2 linked regions of the Schizosaccharomyces pombe genome follow. The gene in region 1 interacts genetically with each later gene. Each region holds a gene or a part of one and is shown on either strand. Other genes may lie near its edges.

Evidence for each region.
Region 2: mutations in acp1 (region 1) and crn1 impair growth when combined (synthetic growth defect), as found in Schizosaccharomyces pombe (2 studies listed by BioGRID, with this or other methods).

What each region holds. Positions count from the first base shown.
Region 1 is NC_003424.3:4,583,464-4,587,053, reverse strand, and holds acp1 (F-actin-capping protein alpha subunit), read right to left. Parts: upstream 1,840-3,590; 5' UTR 1,800-1,839; coding exon 1,730-1,799; intron 1,684-1,729; coding exon 1,490-1,683; intron 1,426-1,489; coding exon 919-1,425; 3' UTR 518-918; downstream 1-517. Other genes in the region: til1 (tRNA(Ile)-lysidine synthetase family protein), read left to right, coding at 1-470; succinate dehydrogenase subunit Emi5, read left to right, coding at 2,029-2,321, 2,378-2,504; peptidase Icp55, read right to left, coding at 2,721-2,891, 2,936-3,043, 3,093-3,314, 3,358-3,435, 3,497-3,590. UniProt on the Schizosaccharomyces pombe protein: F-actin-capping proteins bind in a Ca(2+)-independent manner to the fast growing ends of actin filaments (barbed end) thereby blocking the exchange of subunits at these ends.
Region 2 is NC_003424.3:1,030,124-1,034,680, forward strand, and holds crn1 (coronin Crn1), read left to right. Parts: upstream 1-1,981; 5' UTR 1,982-2,058; coding exon 2,059-2,092; exon of another isoform or gene 2,093-2,134; coding exon 2,135-2,187; exon of another isoform or gene 2,188-2,235; coding exon 2,236-2,463; exon of another isoform or gene 2,464-2,504; coding exon 2,505-2,593; exon of another isoform or gene 2,594-2,642; coding exon 2,643-4,044; downstream 4,045-4,557. Other genes in the region: histone acetyltransferase Hat1, read left to right, coding at 107-164, 215-318, 380-598, 688-803, 875-1,238, 1,295-1,570; haspin-like kinase Hrk1, read left to right, coding at 4,173-4,557.

The DNA of each region.
Region 1 (3,590 bases):
GACAGATTAAACGATCTTCTGTTGTAAGCCTTTGTAATTCAGTTTTTGATGGAAAAAAGCTAACAATTGCTAAATGTCTACTCACTTCCTCTTCTATAAAGGACGACACTAAATTACAACTCCAAATTTCCAGACAACCATTTAGTAAAGCTGAATTGAAAAAAAAAACTATAACCATAAATCCTGATCGTTATGTTTTATGGGATCACAGGTTTTGGATAAAGTACAGTTGCAAAAATACACAGACTACACTTATACTTAGACCGTTGCTTTCCAAAGATCTAAATTCATTGAAGGGATTTTTGAGTAAGGAAGAGTTTCTTAAATTTTGTATACAAGTTCCGGGCCATATCAGGTTTACTATTCCAGTCTTGTCGGAAGAAAACGATAAGTTAGTTGGAATACCTACTTTTGGGTTTAATTTTAGAAGTGATATTATCTCAAACTGTCTACACAAGTTCAAGCTTTAATTGCTGCTTGAACCATGAAATCAATGTTAATTAGAGATACAAGATTTGTGATTTAATAATGCCTCATTATTTATTTATATTATCACAAAGTCAGAGGTGAAAGTCAGATGCTCAGAGCATATTCTGGTGATAAATAGCACGACTGATGCTTACACACAAAAAGTAATACGCCCTTAAATTACTGGTGACGAGCGGTAAAAAAATGATGAAGAACTTGTATTATTGATCGTAAAAAAATAATTTCCTAAAACTTATAAGAGTTTAAGAAAAGAGCGTGTGAGTTGCTCTTGTAAAGTTTTAGAAAGTAAACGACTAGTAATTATTAGTCGTATATCGAGCGACAATGTATATGTATTTAGGAAGAAGGAAAAGGAAACAGCTTGAATCACCGTCTTAAAAAATATCGTCGCAAAAAAATTTCCAAAATTTATAAACACATATAAGTGTTTCAAGTATTTCTCATACGGATGCCACTAACGTTTTCCCAATTAATTTTCTGGCGAGTGACTGGAAGTTGACGACGCAATTCTTTAAACTTTTTGTCATTAAGTGAAGAAAGTTCAACGTTGAAGGACTGTTGAATTCCATTTTCGACTTGAGCCAACACTTCATAAAGCTTACTGGTCTCCTCGACTGTAGCAGAAATAGGACGGGATGCATCCAACCAAACATTTCCGTCTTCATAGTAATGAACACGAATATGCGACCTGCCTTCCAGTTTCTTTTCCGAAACGTTGTAATTGCATATACAGCGCCACGAACCGTTCCAATAGTTCTTGGGATTATACTTTGAAGAAACCAAAACAATTGTAAACGATTCCACTTCATCGCTTTTTTTGATGATTCCAAATGTTACATCAGATAGATAGTGATCCGAAGCAACCTTTTTAATTTGCTTTACTATTTCATCGGGAATTTTTATGGCTTCGGTATAATCTTCAACGTTTTCAGCTTCCTATGAATACTGTTAGCTATTTAACAATTATCACAAAAAAAAGATTTGAAAAATTTAACCTTACCATAGTTTCATAATTAATGGTAAATGATTTCTGTAAAACTTGATCATAATAGCGATTGCCCTCTAGACGATTATCAGCTGAAATAATTACTTTTTCGTCATCCGATATGCTGACAGAAGAGTTGTAGTCTTCATGATAAAGCTTCAGTTGTTCGTGAATTGCTTCCTCATCACTTAGACCGATGTCGCGTATATCTATTATATGCATTAGAATGTTGAGGTATTCAGCACTTTAACAAACCATGAACTACTTGATTAACTTCTCCTGGAGGAGATTCTCTAATGAGTTTGTAAATTGCCTCCTTTTCCATCTTTCGAAATTTCTATAATGTGGTGCGGACAATGGTGAATGGTAAGAAACGAATACGGATGGTGAAGACAATGCCGCAAAACTATCACCAAAGAGTTGTATAGTCTACCAAATCTTCCAAAAAAAGGAGCTATAACCTAATTTTTTTTTCTTTTTATTCATATATAAGTAAATATAGCCTCGGAGGTCGTCTGGTTAATCGCTTAGTTGTTCATTTGAAAATATCAACAATGTTAAGGAAGACAAACTTATCTAATATCACGACGCTTCTAAGAAGTGCAAGATGTATGAATAGAATGCCTCAACTTCGCTTCGAGCATACCAAAGGTGATTTAAAAAGGGTGAATCGCTCTTACGAGACTAGAGACGCAATGTTGGCAAGACTTAAATATCAATCTAGAAAACGGGGAATATTGGAAACGGATTTGCTTTTATCTAATTTCGCCAAAGATCAGATTGATAAATATCCAGTATCTCTTCTGCGAGAGTATGATCAATTATTAGATGAGCCCGATTGGGATATGTAAGTAAATGAACTTGATATACTTAATGTGCGCTATTTTAACGTCCAATTTTTAGTCTATACTGGTGTTCAGGAGAAAGGGAAGCACCTGAAAAGTGGAAATCGAGTCAAGTCTTCAAGGAATTGAGCAAATACTGTCGAAGTCAGAGGAATCATACACTTCGAATGCCAGAACTATTTTGAAAACGTTTCTTGTTTCTCTAAACTAATGTTTATTTTTGACGTTGACTTTTCAATAAAATATTAAAAAAAAATTCGTGTAATGATTAAAATTTAACAGTATATATAGATTTTTTTCCCTTCAATCTTACTTCTAAGAAACTTAGTCCAAAAATAATGTCTTTTATTCTACGATAGTCAGATGTAGTCCTAATTCTTAGTCAATAGGTAACACAATCTCTACTTTTTCAAAGCTTCAATTTCTTCAATTTCTTTTGGAGCAGCACTAGTTAATACGAACGGCTTGTCATCACCAACGATTACGCTATCTTCAATTCGAATAGCTATTCCTTGAGCCCATTGAGGCCATCCGTCTTCTTCTGGAACATATAGTCCGGGTTCTATGGTAATCTAAACCCCGTTTAGCAAATAATCTGAAAAGAACTTCAACTTACAACTTGGTTTTTGCGCAACGGTTGGTAACCATTATTCGTAGAACAATCGTGAATCTCTAGTCCAATCTCATGCCCAATTGAATGCGGATACAATATATCTGTAATCTCCTATAGCCAAGGAAGTTAGTACGAATATTTTGCGAAGTAGCAAACTTACCCGTTTAGTTCCATGAATGCCGACCTGCTTCAATTCTTCATGCATTAATTTAACACTTTCAAAGTGAATATCAGCCAAGCTCCAGCCATTACTGGTGCAACAATACTTAATACATTTCTTTTGCACATTCAGAACTGCTTGATATAAATCCCTTTGTACAGTACTAAATTTGCCGTTGATGGGCCAAGTCCTCGAGATATCTGTTACATAACCACCGAATTCCTGTTAAGCAAGTGTTAATTGACAAAAAATTGAAGGCACTTACACCGCCAGCGTCTACCAAAACCATTTCGTCAGGACGGAATATATCATTATTAATTGTGTAATGGATAGTCAAGCCATTCTTCTTTGTTAATAAAGCTTAAAGTAATAGCATTCAGCATTTTCAGGAATTGATTACTTACTTTTCCACCTGCTACTACAGGCACATATGCGGATCTATCACAGCCTCCAATACAAAACCGATAATTGAATTCCGCGGACATTTCAGCTTCTTTC
Region 2 (4,557 bases), 3.6 Mb from region 1:
GTGAAATTTTGCGTCGCCTTGTAGTTTGTTACTTCCAACTAGACACATGTATTTTTTGTTGTTTGACTTGAAATAGGGTCAGGTATTCAATTTTCCGTATGCAGTGATGAGTGCTGTTGATGAATGGGTACATAATGCCAATGAATGCATAGAAATTGTACAAGGTATGCTATGTTAAATTATAATGTTTTTACCTTGTGTTAACACCTGTCAGTAAACGAAAAGCATGAAAAAGATTGTCAATACCATCCTAGCAATACATATGCAATATTTGGAGATGCTGAGGTTATTTATGGATATAAAGATCTAAATGTCACTGTAAGATTAAATCAGCAAGTTTTAGTCATGAAATTTGATTGCAAATAGTAACAGTTATTAGATAACCTATGAATGCCCATTGATGGTCCCAAAACTGGAAATCTCATATTCAGAGCGCCTAGCACCAGATTCAGGAGTGGAACCAACTGATATTGAAGGAACATTAAACACTTATCTAAAAGATCGTTCCATTAAGGTTGAAGGAAACTCATTTGACGTTCATTCGGCAAATAGTATTCATAACTATTCCTTTAATGGAAAAACATTCAAGATTTTACAAGTATGTTCGATTACCTTTCAATTGGAGAAGTATTCAATTATTGAATATCCCTATATGTTCTTTGGCTAATAATCGTAATGTATTAATAGGCAACGGTTCTTGAAGCTAGTGAGATTATGCAGCATTTGCAAATATTTTCCTTATTTTTTATTGAAGGGGGCTCTTTTATTGACCTTAATGATCCAAGATGGATGGTATATTTACTGTAAGTTTGTTATTTTCTACGCGTCTACTTTCCTTTTACCTTTTTATCGAGGTTTTATTAACAAAAATAAGTTACGAGACTACTGAAGATGATTATTGCTTACGTGGTTATTGTACTGTATACAAATATTATAAATGGGACAAATTAATTCACGATGGTATTCGAGCTCGTATCTCACAATTCGTGATTTTACCCCCTTTTCAACATCAAGGACACGGTTCGCAATTGTACAATGCTATTGTTAGTACCTTTTTGAAAAATCCTAAAATTTTAGACTTCACAGTTGAGGATGCATCGGAAGCGTTTGATAGCCTTAGAGACCATTGCGACTATAAAAGATTATTATCAATGGGAATATTTTCAGAACCTGACTTTCATCCCTCTCTTTCTAGGCAGTGGATAAACTCGAAAATAGCTGAAACAAAGTTAACCCAGGTTCGTAATTTGCTAAATTTACCATGCAATGCAACTTACTAATTGTCTTTTTTTAGCGTCAATTCTCACGCTGTTGTGAATTAGCATTTACAACGAAACTAAAAAAGCTTTCATTATTGGAGCGGAAATCTGTTAGACTAGGAATAAAGGAAAGGATTTTTCGTCAAAATCTTGATGTGTTGCTACAGTTGGATAAGTCCGAACGTATTGAAAAAATTCATAACGCCTATGAAAATCAGTTTGATGAGTATAAACAGATTGTCAAAAAGCTACCCAAGCTTAAGGAAGATTCGCCTCGAAAACGCCAAAAACTTGCTCAATCTTCTTCCTAAATGAAAACACTTTTAGAGATCTGAAATACTTTGAGAATATTGAAGGCATATTAGCATAAAAAGTTATGAGAATCGACTAAATTACACTATTGGACGCAATTACTTTTTATATAATTTGCTTTTGAAAGCTTTCGCTTGAAATGATTAAAGACATTTGAAACAGTGATCATTTTAATAATATAAATTTTGTATATATTTTGCAAATTTAGTGTGATATCTAGTTTAATAAAATCTATAAAGGCACCTTATAAAAATTCAAACAATTCCTCATAATGAACTGCTTTTTCCAAAATTTAAATATTTTAATATCTACTATCAATAATATTGGTTATTTTCAACGACCAGTACAACTTTAGGTGCTTGTCATTCTCATCCGTCCTCCTTCCTATTCCGATCCCGACTTTGTTCATTACCTGACACCCCGGATAAAGTTAGCTCAATTAGCAAATTCTCATTCGATCTTATAAAGGAATTATTCTTTTTCAAAAATGAGTGGAAGATTTGTGAGAGCTAGTAAATATAGTACGCATGCTTTTTGAGTAAATAATTATTAACTGACGTTAGGACATATCTTTGGACAAACCTGCAAAAAAGAACTTTGCTACGACAACATAAAGGTTGGTCGATACTTTAATGGTTTGAAATTTACTAATTGTCTTCAATAGCTTAGCAATAATGCATGGGATTCTAACCTATTGAGTGTGAACCCCTTTTACCTCAGTGTTAATTGGAATGCGGGAGCTGGAGGTGCATTGGCAGTTATCCCTTTAAACGAAAGAGGAAAGCTTCCCGATCAAGTTAATTTGTTTCGGGGCCATACTGCGGCTGTTTTAGATACTGATTGGAATCCCTTCCATGATCAAGTATTAGCATCCGGCGGTGATGATTCTAAGGTATCCTGCTATTTGACTTTATTTATGTATTAACGAATTAGATTATGATATGGAAAGTACCAGAAGATTATACTGTTATGGAGCCTTATGAAGATGTTCATCCAATTGCTGAATTAAAGGGCCATAGCCGGTATGTCGTACATTGCATTAGGGTTTTAGTTACTGACTTTTTTGTATAGTAAAGTTGGTCTTGTTCAATATCATCCCACTGCAGCGAATGTTTTGGCATCTTCTAGTGCAGACAATACTATCAAGTTGTGGGATTGTGAGAAGGGTGTAGCCCATGTATCTCTGAAAATGGATGTAATGTGCCAGTCTATGTCGTTCAACGCTGATGGTACCAGACTTGTAACAACTTCTCGAGATAAGAAAGTTCGCGTCTGGGACCCTCGTACTGATAAACCAGTCTCCGTTGGAAATGGTCATGCAGGTGCTAAAAATCCCCGTGTCGTTTGGCTCGGGAGCCTTGATCGTTTTGCTACAACTGGTTTCAGTAAAATGAGTGATCGTCAAATCGCTTTATGGGACCCTACCAATCTGTCTGAACCGATAGGTGGTTTTACCACATTAGACACCGGTTCGGGAATCCTTATGCCATTCTGGGATGATGGAACAAAGGTAATATATCTAGCAGGTAAAGGTGATGGTAATATTCGCTATTACGAATATGAAAACGATGTTTTCCATTATTTATCTGAATTCAAGTCCGTTGATCCCCAACGAGGCATTGCCTTTTTGCCAAAACGCGGAGTTAATGTTTCTGAAAACGAAGTTATGCGTGCTTATAAGTCCGTGAACGATTCTATCATTGAACCTATAAGTTTCATCGTTCCTCGCCGATCTGAAAGTTTCCAAAGCGATATTTACCCTCCAGCCCCATCTGGTAAACCAAGCTTAACAGCTGAAGAATGGGCCAGTGGGAAAGATGCTCAGCCTGATCTTTTAGATATGTCTACTTTGTATGAGTCTAAAGGTACTGTTGAAAAGGCTGTTTCCGCTACAGTACCCTCAGCTGGTGCTCAGGTACAAAAACATAACGAAGAGAAGGTTGAGACACCAAAGCCCGAAGCTCAGCCAGTTAGCAAGCCGAAAGAATCGGCGGAAGAACAAAAGCCTTCCAAAGAGCCGGAGGTGAAACCAACTACTCCTTCGGCATCAAAAGTAGAAGAACCATCGAAGAAACGTGATGAGGATAATCATCAGAAAGAAGAAACTGTAACCCAGCCCAAGCGTGAGAAAACACCTGTTGAAAAATCTTTTCCGAAACCAGCTAGTAGCCCTGTTACCTTTTCAGAAGATGTAAAGAAAGAACCATCAGAGGAAAAGAAATTGGAAGTTTCTGACGAAGCACCCAAAGCTGCTCCTCTTGCCGAAAGTAAGAAAGTTGAAGAGAAAGAACCCTTTTATGTTTCAAAAGATAAGAAAGATATTTCAGCAGTCAATCTGGCCGATCTCAATAAACGTTTCGAAGGTTTTGAGAAACGATATGAGGAAGAACTCGCAATCCGAGACTGGAAAATTGCCCAATTGGAGGATAAGCTGGCTAAATTAACAGAAGCAATTAAAGAAAAATGTAATTAAGTTTTTTTGTGCATTTTTTATTTTGTCCAGAATGCTTTTTTAAACATATCACTAAGCCCGGACATCATGCCTTCTCCATCTCACCTCCGTACCTTACTACCTCAATATTTACAAATGTAGGAAAAGATATGGAAAGTCGTTCAAAAGTTAAAACTTATGGAAAGAACCGTAGATATATTAATAAAGATATTGAAATTTGGGCTTCTTTAGATGAACGGCCTTGTGCTTTGAAACCTCGGAACATTGAAAATTTTAATAACCAAGAAAGAAGTGACCTTGAGCATATTCACTCTAAACCGAAAAAAGATTCATTATTATCTTGGAACATTCTCTTAAAAAAAGGTTCATACAAAGAAAATGAGTTATTGGCGAAACGAAATCAAAACCTGGTACCTACTGTCATAATACCGGCTTCTCCTCGGGATAATGCATCAAAGTCGGTAGTCAGTAAAAAAGAGGTTGTAAATTTGTCATCTTCTGTTGCTTTATCCGGAAAACCCGCAAATAATTCCA